2 linked regions of the Pelodiscus sinensis genome follow. The protein of the gene in region 1 purifies or fractionates together with the protein of each later gene. This does not show direct contact. Links are inferred from orthologs where the notes say so. Each region holds a gene or a part of one and is shown in the gene's direction. Other genes may lie near its edges.

Region 1 (10,935 bases):
AAAAGAAAAAAAAAGCCTTAAGATCAAACTAATGCTTTTCATAGTATTACATTCACTTTCTTGAAAGTGTTGGGGGGGGCGCGGAGAGGGAAACCTTGTACAATCCTTGAAGATCACCAAATTTCCATTTTCAGGTATGTTAAAACTCAGCATTGGTAAAATATTTCAGCTACAAAACAACTTATTGCAGCATAATTTATGTCACTCAGGGGTATGAATAAACGACCCTCCATAGTGAAATAAGTTACACTGACATAAGCACCAGTGTGGACAGTGCTATGCTGACAAGAAAGCTTCTACTGATAACACAAAACCACCTCTGCAAGAGGCAGTACCTACTATCCAAACAGCTCTCTTCCTATAGCACAGAGCCTCTTCACTGGATGCATTGATTGCGTAGACATGCTCTTACAAGCAACCACCCTTCAGAAATCAGCAAATGAAGTTACTGGAATCAAATGCATTTTTTAAAATAACATCAGCCACAAAGAGGGGAGATCTATATATGTGTTCAGACACAAATTAGTCAATTCACAATTTTCTACCTGGCTTTTACCAAACAGAATAATCCCGTCTCAATACGACAATTATAGTTCCCAATAATTGGGCCTCAAAAGGTATTTGATTAGCAGAACATAGGCCAATTGTAATGAAGCAGAAAGGTGTCTTGACAATACTCTGACTTGCTATGTACAAAATACCCGTAAGTTTTCCCTCAAAGAGCCCACAGTAACATCACTAATAAAGAAATCTGGCATTCTAAGATTAATGAAGTCTGATTGTATTCATTGATAGGATAGAAATACTGGCAAATCTAGCATCTTGGTCAAGGCTTAAGAAGTTTACCACACATTTTAAACCACAAAACTCTTTGAAACATTGGCGAGTGAGGAGAACCAGCCATGTCTAAAGCAATACCTCTTGATTCCTACAATACTGGCATTTTCTACAAGATGCTATCCCCAGATGCCACTCAGGAAGACAACACTGCATTAATCAATATTAGGGAAAAATAATGTTTTGGGTTTTTTTCCTAAATTGATGTGCCAGCTTTTTGGGGGGGAGGCAGAGAGAGGATAAAAGAAGTTGTGTTTTAGCTGTTTTCCATTTGTCAAGGAACAGGAAAGGTTTCAGGTCAGGGCAAAGGGGGCGGGAGAACACTAGACATGAACAGACAGAAGGGAAAAACTACAGACTTACCAGAGAACAAGCATCAAGGACAAAAACTGAAAGGAAATATAACTGTTGAAAAAAGGAATTGATTAAAAAGATGCAAAAAGATTCTGGAAGCAAAAAAAAAAAAAAAGCTTACCAACAGAGGACCTAGATCATATGAACAGAGAGTGACTGAACATCTATTGGACAAATTCAGTTCAAAGTTGCCTAACGGACAAGTAAGGGCCATTTAGGTTAAGAAACTCTGCTTGTGGATAAACTCTGCGAAAGAGGTACAGCCATGGGAACACGGGAACAGTTCAAGCTGAAGAGAAGCAAAGAACAGGACAGCAAGAGTGGAGTTAAACTTATGCGAAGGAAAAGTAAAGTTGATTCTTCTCTCAAGTGGCACAGTATCGTGTAATATTTTGTTCTTAACATAAACACCACATTCGGTATTAACCGCAAACTATGTACAAGCTCAAAAAGGCTAAACATTTAAAGTTCTCTCTTTTGTCTTAGTTTGTCTTTCCTAACAGCATCACCTAGCTGGGTCATCACACTTTTTTCTTCAATCATTTATAAATGAAGATATGTATCATTTCCTCTCTCTGCCTCAGTCTCTGCACCTGTAAAATGAAATTAAGTGATTTACCAAAGCTCATGCAGCTGGTCAGCAGTGCAGCTGGCTATATAACCAAGGTCTCTGACTCCCAAGACCCAATCCACTGGATCATGTTGCCTGCCACCATTAGCCATTACAATGTTTTGGTATACAGGCAGTCCCCAACTTACGCGGATCCGACTTATGTCAGATCCGCACTTACGAACGGCGCTTTTCTCACCCCGGAGCTCACGGGTGGCGAGTCGCCACACGTGTCCTCCAGGGCGAGAAAAGCTTCTCCCGGTCTCCCTGGTCTGCTGGGGGGGGGTCCAGCAAAGCCGCTGGACCCCTCCCCAACAGACCAGGGACACCTGAGCAAAGCCCCCGCCTGGGCGGCTTTGCTCCTGGGCAAATGAGCAAAGCCGCCCAGCCGGGGGCTTTGCTCAGGTGTCCCTGGTCTGCTGGGGGGAGGGGTCCAGCGGCTTTGCTGGACCCCCCCCCAGCAGACCAGGGGGACAGGAGCAAAGCCCGCAGCGGGATAGCCCGGGCGCGCCTGGGCTGTCTCGCTGAGGGCGTGCTCCAAGGCTTTGCTCTGCATCACCCTGGTCTGCAGGGAGACGGGGAGCAAAGCCGTGGAGGACGCGGGCAGTCCCGCCACCCGCGTCTCCCTGGTCTGCTGGGGGGGGGGGGGTGCAGCTAGTGCCCCCCCTACCCCACCCGACCAGGCTTTTCTTGCCTACGCCTGGGGTAGAGCAGCTGAGGCGCTGCCGGGCTGGTCCCGCAGCGCCGCTCCTCGGCGCTACTGTACCAACCCGGCAGCACCCCAGCTGCTCTGCCCCAGGCATCCTGATTCAGCCGCTGCTGGTCAGTTTCAGCAGTGGCTGAATCAGGACGCCTGGGGCAGAGCAGCTGAGGTGCTGCTGGGTTGGTCCAGTAGCGCCAAGGAGCGGCTGCACTACTGGAGCAACCCAGCAGCACCCCAGCTGCTCTGCCCCAGGCGTTCCCAAGTCAGCCGCTGCTGAAACTGACCAGGGGCTGACTACAGGAAGCCCGAGGCAGAGTTGCTCTGCCCCGGGCTTCCTGGAATCAGCCGCTGATCAGTTTCAGCAGCAGCTGACATGGGGACGCCTGGGTTTCTTAAGCTGAATCCGTATGTAAGTCAGAACTGGCGTCCAGATTCAGCCGCTGTTGAAACTGATCAGTTTCAGCAGCGGCTGACGCCAGTTCCGACTTACATACAGATTCAGCTTAAGAACAAACCTACAGTCCCTATCTTGTACGTAACCCGGGGACTGCCTGTATAGTGCCTACCTGCCATTATACAAAATGCACCTTCTATCCACAGTCTATCTACCACTTCCAAAATACAATTACCCACAATATATACATCTCAATCATCCAAACACAGATATAACCTTAACTCAAACTCAACTAGAGTAAAATCACATCCTGATCGAATAGTTTAAACAACTATAAATGTATGAAAATTTTAATGTATTATATGCAAAAATGAACACTGCCTGTGTAAACTAAATCTGGCTCCTTGACATCACTTTTTTAACAACAGTGGAACAAGCCTAAATAAGCAACAGTGTAAAGCTTAATATTTAATTGGTTTAAAATCTGTTTTAAATGTACAATTCTGTGAATTCTATACCATGGATCTAGTAGGGAATATTTCATAATTCCAATTGCATATTCTTTCACCAAACAAATACTAAACAGTGCTGCCAATAAAGATGCATTCGTCTCATATATACAGACAGACAATATATGTTTTTTCCTTTTGGTTCACATAAATATAGTATTCGTGACTAGAAAGAAATTTGGAAAATTCAGATCTGCATCCAGTCTGCAGCTCAGTTCACCTTTACTTGGATATGCCAGTATTTTGATTCTACATGCTTACATTTTGGCTGAAATCCTAAAGCTATCTCTGGCTCTGCTTTGACAGGCAACAGGGTATGTTTTTCAATTGTGTTAGCTGAATCCAATTAACACAATTGAAAAGCCCTGTTAAAATGCAGGCGAGCATGTCTGAAGTTGTCATGTTACATTAACGCAACTAAGCTAACATGACTGATAAAACACACCCTTAAAGACACATCATTTGTGTATTTGTAGTTTGCTGAATGGATGACTAGTTTAAATTGGAAGCCAGATGTATGGATAATATCTGAAACATCATTCATCCAGATACCTACAGTAGCTTCTTTATATTATGTTTTTATTAAAAAAAAACCTAAAATATATTTAGTATATAGCACAATAAATTTTAAGTATTTTTCTTAAAAAAAAAAAAAAAACACAACAACAACAACAACAAAAACCACACATTAGTAAAACTGCTTCTCTGTAAAAATACACATTTCTCTACTAGGTGACCTTAATGAGGAAAAATGCTCCTTCCCTTTCCTTGTCAATAACTGAAGGCTAAGTCAAGTTATCATTCTGAAATGTGGACTAATCATCATAATCTTGGGAGCAGAAGAGGGGAAAGATGTGTTTATTTCACATGTAAAATGGTATATTTGTGAAGAGCAGAGTCTGCCATTTTACTCTGGAAGAGATAATAGTGGTATGAATTCATCTTTGTATTTCTTAAATGGTACAGGCAGTCCCCGGGTTACGTACAAGATAGGGACTGTAGGTTTGTTCTTAAGTTGAATTTGTATGTAAGTCGGAACTGGTACATATTGTAGGGGAAACTCTAGCCAAATATTTCTCCAGAGCTCAGTTTTATTCTCCCACATCTCACTTCCCTCAGTCCTTTATTCTCAAGCTGAGGTGTCTGCTGAGAAAAGCTGCTCCGCGTCTCCCTGGTCTGCTGGGTGGCGGGGGGGGGGGGGCGGGGGGGGACGCTAGCTTCGCGTCTCCCTGGTCTGCTGGGGGGAAGCAGCTAGTGCAGGGTTGCCTCACCCCGTTTGTAAGTAGGGATCCGATGTAAGTCGGATCCATGTAACCTGGGGACTGCCTGTATTTTATAGTCTAAACTAATCCTCTTTGAGCAGGAAAGGAAGTTGTAGAAACAGCTTCACCATGGCATCAATATCAGTAGCAGCTTCAGTACTGATTTAAGCAGGTTGCAACACACAGGCCCATGAAGATGTAATACCCCTGCAAATCAATCAATTCAAAAGATACTTAAATCATTCAGTGTATTTTAAGCTGCTGGGCTTAATTCTGCCACACACAAAAAAATAAAATACAAAAACCCCATAAAAAGTCAAAAAAGATGGCAGAAGAGAAAACAAAAGGAGTGCTTAAAACAATACAAACCAATGTTATATTATTGATAATTGAATCTAAGCCTCCTCCTGCTCACCTCTCTATGAAGCAAGAGACTCCCACATACCAGCAGAAACAGAGCTGGATCCAGAAAAATTGAAGTATGGGAGAATTATGGAAGGCAAAGAGGTAAGGGGAGTTGATTTAAACTCTTTTTTTTTTTAAATGTGAACTCTGATCAAAGCATTCATCAAAACATCAGGGAGAAGTCAAGTTAAGCATTTTGTTTACTTTCATTCCACCCTTGCTATCACTTTTTGGAGGGAGGAACAAGAAGAGGAAGTTGATGTAACTGCCCCCAGTTTTCATAAAAGTGAAGAAAATGTCATACCTTGAGAGCATATACACAGGGATTAAAACAAAATACTCACACATAACTGCAGGACAGGGAGTAGCAGGTAGGTGTGGGGTGTAATGTTTTTCTCTCCTGCCCTGGCAAGACAGTGAGTGGAAAATAGACAAGCAGCAAGTGGGAGAGCTGAAGTACATGTGATGAAGTACTGTCATCCCACCTTCTCTTCTCCCCTATCTCAGTCAGTGAAATGAGTGTTTTCTTTTACCAAAAGGACAGTGAGTGGGATGCACAGGAGAAGAAGCAAAATGAGAAACAGAGAAGTGTGGTGATACCCATAAGAGTAAGGGGTGGAGTGGTGGGTGAGGGACTGAGGATTGCAGCTCCCCCAGGAGAAATCTGATGTTAATAGGAAAGATGAGAAGGGAGAAGCTACAAGTGGGTGTCAGGCACAGACAAGAAGAGGAAGGCAGGGTGGGTGGGAAGAAGGACCACGACTTATGCCAGCAGGATAACAAGTGGGAGGCAGGTTTTCAGTACCAGAAGAGCAGGCTGCTAGGAATGGGATGCTCCCAGCATAGGAGACTGGATGGTGAAAGTTCAGGCGGTGAAGCTGCTCCCGCACCCTAAAGGGAGGGAAAGATAACACGCAGGGGCGCAGGAACAATTTCTGTAGTGGAGGGGCTCAGACCCACTGAGGCAAACTGCAAGCCCTGGATATAATGGAAACCACTTCAAACCAGGGGGTGCTGCAGCATCCGCAGCAGCACTAGGAGAGACGGGGGCGGCCGCTGAGGGGTGGAGCGAGGTCAGAGTTGTGCCGGAGGACACGGGGTGGCGAGGCCTGGGCGGGCGCGGAGCGGATGGGTTCACCGAGAGCTGCTGGGGGTGGCCCCTGCGGGACACAGATGATGGGAGGGGGTAGCGCCCCAAACCCGCCAGCGCGTGAGAGGACTGCCCCCCCCCAAAAGAAGAGGCCGGAACGGCCGGTGGCTCCCTACCTTCCGCACGACCGCGACGGCTCCTTCTCTTGGAAACGGCGCGCAGCCGCCCGCGTTTCTCTCACCGGACACCGTCCGCTGCCCGGGAAAGGGGGAGGTGGCGGCCGAGCTAACCCGAGCCCCACACTCCCAACGCCCGGCCCGCCCACTGATTCCACCCCGCTACCTCCATTGGCTGAGCCTTACCCACACAAAGGGCCCGCCCCCAGCTCTGCCACAGCCAAGGCATCTCATAGGCCGCCCCTTCCCCGCCGCCCCTGTCGCTCACCCACTGGGAGTGGCGGAAACAGGGACAAGGGGTGTGGCTACTCCCGATTGGCGAAAATTCACCCTACCACTTTCGATTCCTATTGGTTGAAGAGGCCTACAATCCTCTCGATTCGAGTACCTGATTGGTCTTCCTCGACACAGCCACGGTAGGGTGCGCGCAAACCTGTTCTAGTGTGCGTGTGATGGGGAAGGGTGGAAGTTAGCGCTGTGGCTAGGATCCTCATTGGTCGGCTGGAACGTGGGCGCCGTGCCCTCGCGACGCTAACGCAGCGACGGAACGCAACGCCTTGGTCCGATTCCCAAAATGGCGCCGCGCAGGGAGCGAAGGTGTTGTCGTTAGTGGCCTCGCAGTGCTGCGGGGGGTTCGCGCGCTTGATTTGTGAGTGTCTCTCGGTGGGAGTGTGACCGCGTACAGAGTGGGATGGGGCGGAGGTGACATGGGGCTCTGGGGTAGGTATGCGCGAGGAGCGGGATGCCGTGGTACGGGACTTCTGGGTGCTGAGCGAGGGTCGGGACGCTGAGGAGAAGGGGTTGCGATCGTGCCGGGGGGTGCTGTGGCCAGGCGGCTGAAGAGGGAGGTGTAAATTGAGATCCCGGTCCTGAGGCAGCGGGAGATTTGAGGCGGGGGGTGGGCGTAGCCGTGGGGCTGATTCGGAGTGGTTGAGAGCCGAGTGTCCTTGAGGGCCCTGGCGCTGGGGAGGGTCCGTGTGAGAATAGGGTGCCAAACATGGCTATCGGGCCACTCGACCTTCGCGCGTTGTTTCTCCAGTCTTCAGTCTGGGCAGTAGCCCGCCCCTTCTCCCCCATCCCCCGGAAGATTGGTGTCATAAAAACGTAAAATTTGTCCTTCGGTTCAACTCTGCTAACTGCGTTACACGTAGGAAAAGGCTAGTCGAGACCGTACGTTGGATTAAATCAGTATTTGCTGTATGTGGGGCAGGTGGTAGTGTGATCTTTCCTAAGAAAAGTTTCACTGTAAACTAGCTTGTTTGTGAAAGTGCTGTATTGGGGAGGTAAGGAATGAGCTCGTGGTGCCTGCTAGTCGTTGTTGTTTTTGTGATGTAAGAAGAGACTTTTAAAAATAAAGCTGTTAGTTTAATGTTCTTAAAGTATTCCAATTACCGACTTTTGTCTGTTTTGGTTTTGATGAGAAACCTCTTGAAACAAAGGAGGGAATTCCATACAAAAAAAATGCTGTACTCAATATTTTAAAATTCTGCAGGTTTTGTCTATAAATGTGGAGTCTCCAACACGGTAGTGGAAAACATAGCCCAGTAGCTGTACAGAGGCTGGAGATCACCCTACTGCTCCCTTTTCCCACAACACTGTGGTGAAGCTGCACCCAACCTTGACAAAACACAAAGTCCAACTCTGCCCCCAAAACACCCTGGGGTCCTGGCCCTCTGCATCAGGTGCACCAGCTATGCAAGGGCAGATGCAGAACAGTGGGATCCAAGTGTGCAGAGGCTTGATGTGGAGAGGTTCAGGTGTGGGAAAAGAGGATTTTGGGTGTAGGCAGCTTAGTTGAGGGGGGAGTCCAGGTATGCAGAAGATCTGTATGCACAGTGGGGTCCAGTTTAGGGCTGTAATAGTGTAGTCAATTAACCAATAAGCAAAAGTTTATAGGTTAATGCTATAGGCCCCTTGCATTCCCGCCACCCGGCCAGTAAATTTTTTAGCAGGCTGGCCAGCAACCTGGCTCAATCCTGGCTCACACTGGGTCTGGGACCTACCCCTCTTGCGGCTCTGCATTAAAAGTGTATCAGGAGCTGGGTGGGCAGGCATCCCGGCTCAGTTTTGGCTCATGCTGCGTCCAGGAGCTCAGTGATCCCCTGGACAGGGACTGTTGCCTCTGTATCAGAGGTAGCAGCGCAGGGTGAAAGGCAGCTGGGCCAGGAGGGGAGATGGTTTCTAAACTGGCTCACCTCATGGACCAGCTCCCACCTGGTGCTCCTGCACTGCTGCCTTGGTCCCAACTCTGGGGCTTCTATAGTCCCCGCACTGCTGCCCCGGCCCCACTTCCGGGGACTATAGACTAGTTGAGTAACTGATAAGAATTCATGAATTTAATAGACTGTTCAACTAACCGATATTTAACATCCCTAGTCCAGTTGCAGGGGCATAGGAACTTTGCAAGGGGATCCAGATGAAGATGATTGGGGCTAAGAAGCGGATTCTGGGTGTTGGAAATTTAGCAGAGGTGTCCAGATATTGGGAGAGTGTGGATTGGCACGGTGGGAGTCCAGGTGCAGCTGGTTGCAGACCTGGTCTGGGTGCAAGAGGCTTGTGGGGTGGTTCATATGCATAGGAAGTGGGGTTCATTGGACTGAGAGTTCAAGTGAAGGGGTTGCACGGGGTAGTCTGGATACAGGAATACCCACAGTCCAGATACCGGAGGCAGTGGGGCTTGGCACGGGAGTCTGACTACATAAGGTAGTACTCAGTGTGGGGGGACTCCAAATGTAGAAGCTAAGGCTTGGCAGAGGAGAGTCTGGGTATTGGAAGGGAAAGTGTCTTGATGCACAGGGTTGTCTGTATGGGGAAGAGGGGTCATGACTCTGACCCAGCACCAGCAAGTGACTGGACTGGGCTGGTTTTGAAAAGACACTGACATTTAGGAAAAAACAAACAGTCTGGAGATATGCTCACTTGATTCCCTGAGACTGAGAAGTAAGTCTTACGTTTGTAAGACCTTTATGCATGTAGGCCTGTTCTTGTTTTAACATTTTTCTCTGATTGCTGCATTCCTGCGGAGAGAGAAATAGGTTGCAATGAATACATATAGATGGCCAAACTCAGCTGGGTCTGCAGAGTAATCATAATTGGTGCCTGGAGACACTGTAAAAGAGAGGTGAATCAAGAACAATGAAGGCACAGTATCTGTAATTTGACAGAAAGTTCATGGAGGAGGGAGCTTCTGCTAACCCTCTAATTTACCTAGAAATTCACAGGAATCCATTGGAAACTGAAGCACTGATTTAATTTGCTTGTAGGAACATACCTTGCTTTCTCAGTGTGCTACCACATTCTGCACAATATCTTGTTTGTTGGTGGTTTTAAGACATGGTCCCATATGGAGTGCATTTTAGTAATCTTAACTTTGAGATGACAAAAATGTAAATGAGGCAAGATCCATATGTGAAAATGATTAGAAAGCAGCAACCACCAGATCAGTTATCTGATCTTCCTGTGGCATCTAGGAATCCAGTTGGACCCCTAGATTGCAAACCTGGCCAAGCTGTCATGGCATACACACTAGATCAGGGCTGGGTGAGAGACTGTTAGCAGGCCAAATCTGTCCTGCCTAGCCCTTTTATCTGGCCATGTGGCAGTTCCTGGCCCTGCCCCATGATGCATTGTCTGGGAACTGGAGGTGCCCTTTCAACTGCTTCTATTTAAAGGGCTTGTGCCTTTCCTGTGGCTACCAGGCAATGCGTTAGGGGTGGGGCTGGGACCTCTGAGCCCTTTCAACTGCTTCTATTTAAAGGCACTGCCGCATCTGCCCGAGGCCCCACCCCCTTTGGCCCACAACCACTTAAACATTTTTTGAAGTGCCCCCCCCTTCAAAAATTATTGCCCATTCCTGCCCTAGCTCAAGTGAGCAAATATTGTACAGTAACTTACTTGCCCAAGTTTTGCTAATTTTGCATTTATACATTCTTTTAATTTTCCATTTGCCTGCAGGCTAGGGAAATACAGTGTATATGAAACCTGAACTTCTCACAAATGAAATATCTTACCAAATAAACTTTTTGCATCGTCTTTATGCAGCAATTAATTAACAATTTAAAATGGTTTCCCTTCTTTCGGGTATCTTTTCATTCTGCCTTGTGACTTGTCTAGCGTATGTATGCATAGTGAAAATATCACTTATCTCAGGATGAAAAATGATGGTTTATTGCAGTTTTTTCTGATTATATTTTTTTTATTATTTTGAAGCTGCTGTCTGAAAATCCATTGTCTGAAAACGTATCAAGCAGGAACGATTGTACTTCAATAAATGAAGGAGAATAAAGAAAATTCCAGCCCTTCTGTAAATTTGGCAAACCTGGACCACACAAAACCATGTTGGTACTGGGATAAAAAAGATCTGGCACATACACCATCACAGTTAGAAGGACTTGATCCAGCTACTGAGGCACGATACCGCCGAGAAGGAGCCAGATTCATATTTGATGTAGGAACACGTCTAGGACTGTATCCTTTTGAGTTGATATTTTTAGCATATGCTTGTAGCATTATCAATTAGAAAGTCTCAAAAAAGTATACAAAGAGGGTTATTGTTTGTTTGTTTGATTAATTTGCAAAGTATAGTCTTATTTCCA
Region 2 (10,340 bases), on another chromosome or scaffold:
AATTAACAAAAATCCATGTAAAACAACATATATTTTCAGAATATATTAAGTATTTTTACATTCTTTTTATCCAGTAGTTATTTTTGCTCCTTTTCTTTGAGTTACATCTTCTGCAGTTGAAGATTTCTTGACCTTTGCAACAGATTGCTTTTAACAGAAGGCCTCAAAGCACTTTACAGGCATTTAAGAATAAAGAGGTCATCACTAGCACTCTAATGGGGGTAACAATACAAGAAAAAAATCTCAAGCACAGGGCATTCTACTGGAGGAAGATAAAGGGTCTAGTTCTTAGTAGGCAGTCCCAGTCAGGCCTAAATGCACAGCTCCAGCTTCCTGTAGCTTAAACAGAAAGATTCCCTTTTGCAGAACTCAAGACTAATGCCTGTTTCATTCCTATAGTTTCACAAATAACAGTTTCTTCTTGGGAAAGCCTGTCTAACCATTTTTTCCTCCTCCCCAACTCCAGAAGCACAACCTCTCTACACTAAAGACACCTAGCCTGCTTTTGTACCTTCCCTTTTTCTGGCCTGACTGCCAGTTAATAAGCCACAGCTGAAGACCCTCTTCCTGAGTGGTAGCTCAGGCAATTTTTATGAATGGAGTAGACTCTTTCTTTCTCCAAGGAAACCATGTATCCCCATTCAATGGCTAATTGTGCAGATGTAACTCACACACCTAGTGGGTGTAGTTCACTGTCCCAGTAGTGGCACTTAGACCACTTACAGAGAGATGTAAGAATGAGTGAGCTCTACAGCCCCAACTAAAAGCCACCTACCTTTATAGCTCAGGCTGTAGAAGCTCCTACACCAGCGGATCTTAACCTGGGGTGCATGCATCCCCTGGGGGTGCAAAATACCTTTTTGGGGGGTGCGAGACATGCCAGATTTTTATGATATATCATGTTTAAAGAATTGACCTACTTCAATGATTTTTAATAAGGGGTATGAGAACATATTTTGAGAACCAAAGAGGTGCAGGCTGCAGTAAGGTTAAGAACCACTGTCCTACACTAAAACAAAATACAGGTCTATGTATTTTGTTTCAGCTACACCAGACTAACACAGCTACATTTCTATCACTGTCCTACACTAAGCACTAGAGGGCCTAGGTTCAAATCTACCCTGTGGCAGTTGCACAAGATACATATGACTAGGGTTACCAGGTAGATTCCCCCTCCCCCCCCAAAATACCAGACACACTTGATCTTGGGCAGGGGAGGTGGGGCAGGCTGGGAGGAAGGGGGGCGGGAAGCAGAGCTGGGAGGAGGATTGGGGGCCAGGGGGATGGAAAAGGAGGGAGGGGGGACGGGAAGCAGAACTGGGGGGGATCGGGGGCTGCGGGGGCTGGATGGGAGGATGGGCGGCCAGAGGAGGGGGAGGAGCAAAGCTGGCAGGGGGGTGCAGCCACTGGCTGCAGCTGCAGTCCAACAGTCTGCACTCCCGGCAGGCACTCCCTCTATTTTCTAGTAGAAGCCGGGTGGGGGCAGGGGGAGTGGCTGGGAGCTGTTCCCCCGTCGGGCTTCTGCATGCAACCAGAAGCTCCCAGCTGGGAGGCTGGACCGCAAATGGCGCTGGGAGCCTCTAGTTGTGCACAGAAGCCAGCAGGGGGAGCGGCTGGGAGTCCGGGCCACTGCCCCTGCCCCGCCCCGCCCCACCTGGCTTTTGCACACAACCACAGGGCTCCCAGCGCCAATCGCGGCCCCGCCTCCCAGTCGCTCCCCCGCCCCCGCCAGGCTTCCGTCCAGTGCCCAGCTGAAAAATCAGAAAATACCGGACATTACACATTTCCAGTATTTTCTGAATTTTTCTACCGGACAGAGGGCGCAAATACCGGACTGTCCGGTAGAAAACCGGACACTTGGCAACCCTACAATGACTTATCATCACATACACGCCTGGACTTAGGGCAAAGTGAGCAAGGAGGCTGCATTGGGCCCTGTGCTGTTAAGTCCCTGCACTGCCTGGCACCCTCCTACTTGCTTGCTTCCCTTGCTGGGAGTTGCCTGGCCATGTGGTGCAGCTAACCACAACATGCTGCCTTGGGCTCTGCAAACTCATTGGCTGGGCCTGATCACATGTCCAAGTGAGGTAGTGAATACAAATACATGAATATTTAACCAAAAAAGTAAGGGAAATTTGTCCCAATAAAGCAGTAGATTTGCTGATTTACTACATATCCAAGGCTGTCTACACTCGCGGTGTCTTGCGCCAGAAATATGCAAATGAGGCTAAGCATGGACTATTGCAGAGCCTCATTTGCGTACCTAATGAGCCGCTATTTTAGCAGAAGAGGCTCTTGTGCCAGAAGGAGCTGTCTACACTGCTCCTTCTTGCGCAACAAAAACCCTCTTGAGCAATGCCGTTACGCCGATTACTTTTCAGGAAGAACGGCATTGCGCAAGAGGGTTTTTCTTAGCCAGATTCTGTCTCTTTTCTGTTTGGTTTGGTGAGAAGCAATTCCATTCCAGGCATATCCTATTTTCCTGGCACAACCAAACCTTTATGTTCCTTTAAACTCTCTTGGGCTATGTCTACACTCGCAGCTTCTTAGCCAGAATCTGGCTAAGAAAAACCCTCTTGCGCAATGCCGTTCTTCCTGAAAAGTAATCGGCATAACGGCATTGTGCAAGAGGGTTTGTGTTGCGCAAGAAAGGACAGTGTAGACAGCTCCTTCCGGCGCAAGAGCCTCTTCTGCAAAAATGGCGGCTCATTAGGTATGCAAATGAGGCTCAGCGATATTCCACGCTTAGCCTCATTTGCATATTTCTGGCGCAAGAAGCCGTGAGTGTAAACGTAGCCCAAGAGAGTTTAAAGGAAGATAAAGGTTTGGTTATGCCAGGAAAATAGGATATGCCTGGAATGGGATTGCTTCTCACCAAACCAAACAGAAAAGAGACAGAATCACCAGGCAGATGAAAGCAGCTGGCGAGGGGTGTGCCCCCCTCATATGAGACTGCCACAGCCCTGAGGCGCCCACCCCCACAGGGCCTTGTTAGGGAGGGCTCAAATTCCCCTCTCCCAATTTGTACAGGACACAGTTGGCTGTTCCCCTATGTCAGGGAGTGACAGGGAAGTGCACAGTTTGCTGCTTTCCTCACTATGCCTGGAGAGCACAGGGGACAGATGAACCTGCACCAGTCCCATCTATACCCCTCCCCCAGCTGTGCCCGCTGGAATTGCAGTGGACATGGAGAGGTACTTCTCATGTGGCTCCAATCTGTTGTGGTGAGAGAGAGCTGGGGTTGTCCTCTTTCCCCAGGGCAGCCTGCAAACTGAACCCCTCATCCCTAGCCCCACCCCCAAAACAATGATTCAGATGAAGCATGCACATTTTCATTAAACAAAAACATAAATTAAGGAGCTGAGCAATGCTGGGTAAGTCTTCTATTGCAATATAAATGGGGAGAAATGCTACCTAGAACTATAATGGTTGTCATTTTTTTTAAACAAAACAATCATTCTGAAATTCATGAGAGGTGTGGAGATGCAACTTGTATCCTTCCGCTCCAGAAAGCACTAAAGGACAGTTTCCTTCAGCTGTTAGCAGTATAGGGCCTCTGATGTACAGTTCTGATTCCTTACAGTAGGAAAACTGTGTTAAATACTTCTGTGTGCCAATCAGCTCATTACAATTTCTTAATCAATCACAGAACTCCCTGTGAAACAAACACACATTATAGGAAATCAAATCAGGGTGCAAGGTCATCTGTTTACCACTTTTTTACTGAGACCCTGATTCTGCAATGAGCTCCAAGTGGTAGGAGCCCCAAAAAGGAAGATAGAAGATGACTTGATTGTGGTTTTGAAATAAAGATTTCCAACGATAAAGGGTTTTTAATCTAACAGACAAAAAGATCCAAAGGTTAGAAATGTAAGCTAGACAAAATCAAATGGAAGATTACAAGCATATTTGTTAATAACGTGTGGGTTGAAAAGGTCGGGAGTATTAACAGTTGGAACAGCTTGCTGAGGGGAGTAATGGATTCTCCATCTCTTGGAATGTTTACATCAAGACTGGATGTCTCGCTAGAAGATATACTCTACTTCAGTCAGAAATTATTGGGCTTGATATAGTAATTCCTGGCTGAGTGTAATTCTGTGGCCTGTGTTAAGTAGGAAAGCAAACAAGATGATCACAATAATCCTTTCTGGCCTTAAAATGGTAAAGTTAATGGAGCTCTGTGTGGGCTTAAGTTGCTTTCCATACTGAGCTCATTGCAGAATTGTGGCCTTTAGCAGCAGGAGGTGGATGCAAAAGCAGCCATAAACCACAAAATATTTGTATTTCTTTTGCCATCCTTGAAGACTGTGAACTGAAGTGACCATGATACAAACCTACATCTGTCTTCTGCTGTGACTGTTTGAACCTTACAGTTTTCAATACATTTAATGATGCATTACTGGGGCCACTACTATATCATTCATAGCAATCCTTCATGTATGGCTCTCAAATCTCAAAATCCAGTCCTTTTTACTGTTGTCTCTTTTTCAAATAAGATAGGGATGGAAACTTCAAGAGAGTATTTTTTTTTTTGTCAGATGGAGGGGAGGGAGTTTTTACTTGCTTATTCTATTTGATTTAACATTTTAAAACAGGCATTTTTAGGCCCTTACTATACTATTCACTATCTGTCCAATCTGGATGCCTTCACCCAAGCTTTTGCTCAGTCCTTACTCAGATAAAATATCCACTGAAGTGAGTCAAAGTAATTGTGAGGTCATATCTTTTAGGACACCAACTTCTGTAGGTAAAAGAGACAAGCTTTTAAACAAGAGCTCTTCTTATCTTGAAAGCTTGTCTCTCTCCCCGACAGAACTTCATCCGATAACATATATTATCTCACACACCTTGGCTACGTCTACGCTAGCGCGTTCTCGCACAAAAACTCTTTTGCGCAAGAGTTCTTCTGCAAAAACTCTTCCAGAAGAGAGCGTCTACACTGGCATGTGCTTTTGCGCAAGAGCATCCATGCCAGTGTAGACAGTCTCTTGCGCAAGAAAGCTCTGATGGCCATTTTAACCATAGGGCTTTCTTGCACAAGAAATTCATGTTGCCTGTCTACACTGGCCTCTTCTGGAAGAGCTCTTTTGCAAGAGGGCTTATTCCTGAGCGGGAGTGTCAGAGTTCTAGCGCAAGAACACTTGATTTTATACATTAGAACGTCAGTTTACTTGCACAAGAACACAAGGCCAGTGTAGACAGGCAGCAAGTTTTTGCGCAAGAGCGGCCACTTTAGACACAGCCCTTTTGTGCAAAAAATATGCAAATGACGCAAAGCGTGGAATATCGCTGCGCCTCATTTGCATAATTAATTAGGCTCCGTTTTTGCGCAAAAAAACCCTCTTGTACAAGAGCCATTCTTACTTGAAGAAACAGGAAGGACGGCTCTTGCGCAAGAAGGTTTTTTTGGGCAAAAGACATAGCCCTTGTCTCCCTAATATCCTAGGTCTGCAACTACACCACCTGCTTTAAAGTGAGTGACAATTGAAGCAATGGCAGGACAAACTTTTAGACATTGCTGCTGATTTTGGGTGCTTCAGTTTCTGGGTGGAGTCAGGTGAGGTAAGTAAATAAAGTGAGCGACAATTTGAGCAATGGTAATTGGTAAGTAAATAAAAGTTGGGGGGGAGGAGAGGAGATGAGAATCATAAGACTGGGACAAACTTAAAAAACAAGGAATAGTCTATCTGCAGCACCTTAAAGACTAACAAAACATGTAGATGAAACAAAAAACAGGACTATGTAGCACTTTAAAGACTAACAAGATGATTTATTAGGTGATGAGCTTTCGTGGGCCAGACCCACTTCCTCAGATCAAATAGTGGATCTGATTTGATCTGTGGAAGTGGGTCTGGCCCACGAAAGCTCATCACCTAATAAATCATCTTGTTAGTCTTTGAAGTGCATGAGCTTTTGTCGGTACAACCCATTTCTTCAGATGAACGGAGTTAGGACTCCTGGGTTCTGTTTTGGCCATGGAACAGGAGCAGGGTCTAGTGTTTAGAACAGGAGAGTGTGGGTTATACACCTGGCTTCTCTATGAAACTGAGCCTAGAGAGGCACCAACCCTCACCCCCACCCCCATGTCACTGCCTTGAGGGCACTGCTGGCTGCTTCACATGTTTTGTGGGGCCTATTGCATGGCACTCAGGCTCTCTTTGAAGCTGGGAAGGGGCCCTGAGGCTCCTCCACACAAGTATCTGGGGCAGGGGCTTGGTGATTTGACCACACTCTGCATCTCAATCAAGTTTTGCAGGGGAAGAAAGTATGTGGGGGAGGGGGAAAGGAGGCGCTGTCCGCACAGTGCGGCTCAATAAAGTTTTGTTGAAAAGAGCCGTTGCCTTGGGCTTGCTTGTTTCTCTGGCCGCGTTACCAGGTGGCTCAATAAAGTTTTGTTGAGCAGCCCCGCGCGGAGCTCTCGCGAGGCTGGCGCGGGCCCGGCCGGAGCGTCTCGCGGCCTTTGCCTCGGGGAGAGAGGGAGGGGGAAGCTCTCGGCCGTCACGCGAGAGCGTCGCGAGAGTTGGCGGCTGCCCCCTTGGAAGCGGGGCCGTTTCGCTTTGGGAAGTGAGAGGGGAGGCGGCCCCGGGCGCGGGGCGGACAAAGGGGGCGCGAGCCGGGGACTCGCCGCGCCGCGGCTGAGGGGGCGGGAGCCGGGGACTCTCCGCTGAGGGAGCCGGGCCTAGGGATCTACCCAGGGGGCCCCTGCCCGGGGGACCCTCTGCCCAGGCCCAGGGGCCCGCTCCAGGCCCCAGCCACCCCCCTTCCCCAGACCCCCCCTTGGGTCTTTCCAGGCCCTTTAACTGCCTGCCCAGGGGCCCTGTGAGGTCAAGTCCCCCTCCCCCACCCCAGGGGCCTGATCCAAAGGGCTGCACCCCATGAAGGAGGGAGGGAGTTAGAACCAGGGAGGAAAGGCGCAGGGGGGGGGGAGAAGTGGTTGTGAATGGTGGGAGGAGAAAGGCAGGCCACGGAAAGAGGCCTGTAGCTGGGGGAGGGGTGTCGGTGCCTGGGGTTTAAAGTTTGGGGGCTTTGGAGGATTCCCCCCTCCCCTCTTCCAAGCACAGTGGAGAAGGAATGCCAAATCCAGAGAGACATGGGGGCAAGAAGGATGGAGGAGGAGGGGGGTCGTTGCAGCAGCAGACATCCAGCAGTGGCAGTTCGAACAGCAAGGAGAGGCACCGGCTGGTCTCCAGACACAAGAGGCACAGGTCCAAGCACTCTAAAGATTCGCCGCTGGTGGCTCAAGAGACGGCGGCGCCGCTGGGTGCGATGATCAAGCCACTGGTGGAGTATGATGACATCAGCTCCGACTCGGACACCTTCTCCGATGATGTGGCCCTCAAGTTGGAAAGGAGGGAGAATGATGAGAGGAAGGGGAGCTCAGACAGGAGTGACAGGTTGCACAAGCACCGGCACCACCAGCACAAGCGTGTTCGGGAGCTGAACAGGAGTAAGCAGGTGGAAAAAGAGAAGAAGTTGGAAAAGACTCAGGAGGTGTCCATCAGGTCAGGATCCATCAAGGACCGAGTGTCCGGGACCTCCAAAAGACTCAATGAGGAGAATGAAGAACACTTTAAATCACAGCCATCAAGAAGCAGCAACAAGGACTCCAGGTCAGCCAAAGCACACAAGGAGAAGTCCAGAAAAGAGCGGGAGCTGAAGTCTGGGCACAAAGACCGCAGTAAAAGCCATCGAAAAAGGGACATTGTGAAAAGCTACAAAAGCACTGACAGTCCAAAACGGAAATCCCGGAGTCCTCACAGGAAATGGGCTGACAGCCCCAAACAGGATGACAGCCCTTCGGGAGCATCTTACACCCAAGAATACGATCTTAGCCCTCCACGGTCACATACATCCAGCAACTATGACTCATACAAGAAGAGCCCAGGTGGCTCATCACGCAGGCAGTCAGTCAGCCCACCCTACAAGGAACCCGTAGCATACCAGTCCAACACTCGATCTCCTAGTCCTTATGGTCGAAGACAGAGGTCCATCAGCCCGTACAACAGGAGACGCTCATCCAGTTATGAGAGGGGAAGTGGGTCGTACAGTGGAAGGTCACCCAGCCCGTACAGCCGAAGGCGCTCAAGCAGTCCTTTTGTTGCCAAGCGGTCCGTGAGCCGAAGTCCAGTAGCCAGGTGTGTGATCTCTCTGTTTTTTGTGTGTTGGGAGGGAGATTGGATGGCTTTGGAGGGGTGATTGATTGACCCTCTAGATCAGTGTTTCTCAACCAGTGGTATGAGTACCCTTACGGGTATTTGAGAGAAGTCTGGGGGGGTTACGTCAACACAACTGAAATTTGGAGAAAACTGAATTTTTCTTAAGTTTTACAGCGCTTTATTATTTGTACTTTTTACACCCAAAAATTTCACTGCACGCCCAGCTATGATTAAGTTGTTTAACCCAATACGCTGCAATGGTAGAAACAATTTGTGTGTGTCTGAAAACTGTAGGTCCTGGGGGTCATTATAATTTTTTTTAAAAAGGAGGTACTTTATTAAAAAAAAAAAAAGGTTGAGAAACATTGCTCAAGATCACATGTTCAGTTCTGACCTAGGTAATTAGTGTGCACTTATTATTGCCAAGGGCTCCTCACTGCTCCATGGGGCTCGTTACCGATCCCTTTGGATAGATGTCCACTTCTTAAAACCACCAGAGGCCAAGACTGAATGAGCCAGTAGGATTGAGTTACACTTGCCTCTAGCTGTGGGCCTTGCAGAACAGTCATGAAGTGTTGTGCGGAAGTTTGCACTTGGTGAGAGTGTTCTGTGGAAAACTTTTAAAATTTCTAGTGCTGAAAATCCAACATCTTTTGCTACCACTAAGTATTTTTAAAAGTTCTCTCATTCTGGAAACTTTGATCCAAATTCTAGGAAAGAGATTATAGTTTTCAGAAGGCTTGTTTAATTCAGCGCATATCTCACTCTGAACTGATTAATTTTTTTCTTTCCTTTCCTCATCATTAGAGTTGTCCATATTTAAGTTACTTCTTTATAGTTTAACTTGCTTTTCTCAAGCTAAGTGTTCTGCTCAGTTATAGATCATTTGCTTCCATTCGTTTTAAATAGTCCCTTGGCATTCTAGAAGGTCAATTAGGTAACTTTTTTTTAGTTTGGAACACGGATTTTTTTTCTTTTTATGCTCCAGTAACTTTGACACGCACACAGACACACACACATTTTGTTTGAAATTAGTAATAGTGTTGCATTTTGTTTCAATTTTATAGTAATGAAGAGTGTTTTGAGTACAGATTGGTAGATAGCCTAATATGGATTATTTTTCAATCTAGAATTTTTGTCTCAGTGAGCCTCCAGTTCTAGGCATGCGTGTAGTGGAACTGGCTATAGATTTATCATAATTCAGAAAAGAACTTCTACGTGAAATAAGTTCTTATGATAAACTAGCAAAACAATATGTACAATGTTAGTTGTGTTGCTTCCCAGGATTCCATTGGTGAACGAGATTGGGTCTGCACATCTTTACCTGTGTGATTTGAACTTCTCATTTGGGTAGTCCCATTAAATTTAGTGCTTTGGAATTGAGCCCTAAAACAACATCCATTGCTCTTCACATATAAGGTTTTCCAGTGAAAATCAGGACTAGTATAGACTAAAAATCCTGTCTTTGTCTGAACTGCAAATAGCTATCTCAATGTAAAATCCTAGTAGTGATAAGGCATCTGTAAATTTTGCCTCAAGTTAGCTCATTGGAGTCACCCCTGTTCTCCCCCATCTTTAGTTTATTTTGATAAACTATATCGAAGTAAAAGCTTCCTGTCCATTAATTTTGAAATATGATCTAGTGGAGCTGTGTACATGTAAAACCCAAATCTTTTTGGGAAATGAAAACCTTGTTTTCACAGGTCACGTGCTTTTACATCTCTAGAAAAATCCTGAGTGGCAGATGCCTTGTATATCTTTTCTGGCTGTGCTATGTAGCCTCTGGTAAGGGTGTATAGCTACTCTTCTTTAACCAGCAAAAGGGTTGCTGTTGAATTGGAGGGTGACAGTAGGGATGTGAACGACTAGTCAACTATCCTATAAGCAAATGCTTATCCGATAGTCGACAGGCTAGTCGACTAGTCACTTCCCCCCTCCCCTCTTGCTGCCTCTATCAGAAAGAGGCAGCGGGGGAGAGGGGGAATAGAGGAGGAGGTGGTTCCAAGTGGTCGCGCCGTGTGGAGCCTGGGGTCAGCTGGGAACTCTCCCGCTGACCCTGGACTTCATATAGCACTGCTGATTTGAAACACTGTGGAGCCTGATGTTGGGCTCTCTTTGGTGTTTCAAAGCAGCAGCGCCACATGGAGCTGAGGGTCAGCTTTGAAATGCCACAGGGAGCGTGAG

The links.
Region 2: the proteins of CCNK (region 1) and CDK12 purify together in Homo sapiens (affinity purification with mass spectrometry; 6 studies listed by BioGRID and IntAct, with this or other methods). This does not show direct contact. The link is inferred for Pelodiscus sinensis from reciprocal best matches to the Homo sapiens genes CCNK and CDK12.

Annotation. Positions count from the first base shown.
Region 1 is NC_134714.1:24,955,785-24,966,719, reverse strand, and holds the start of CCNK (cyclin-K), read left to right. Parts: upstream 1-6,820; 5' UTR 6,821-7,060; intron 7,061-10,549; 5' UTR 10,550-10,610; coding exon 10,611-10,807; intron 10,808-10,935. UniProt on the Homo sapiens protein: Regulatory subunit of cyclin-dependent kinases that mediates activation of target kinases.
Region 2 is NC_134739.1:11,877,161-11,887,500, reverse strand, and holds the start of CDK12 (cyclin-dependent kinase 12), read left to right. Parts: upstream 1-6,471; 5' UTR 6,472-7,071; coding exon 7,072-8,135; intron 8,136-10,340. UniProt on the Homo sapiens protein: Cyclin-dependent kinase that phosphorylates the C-terminal domain (CTD) of the large subunit of RNA polymerase II (POLR2A), thereby acting as a key regulator of transcription elongation.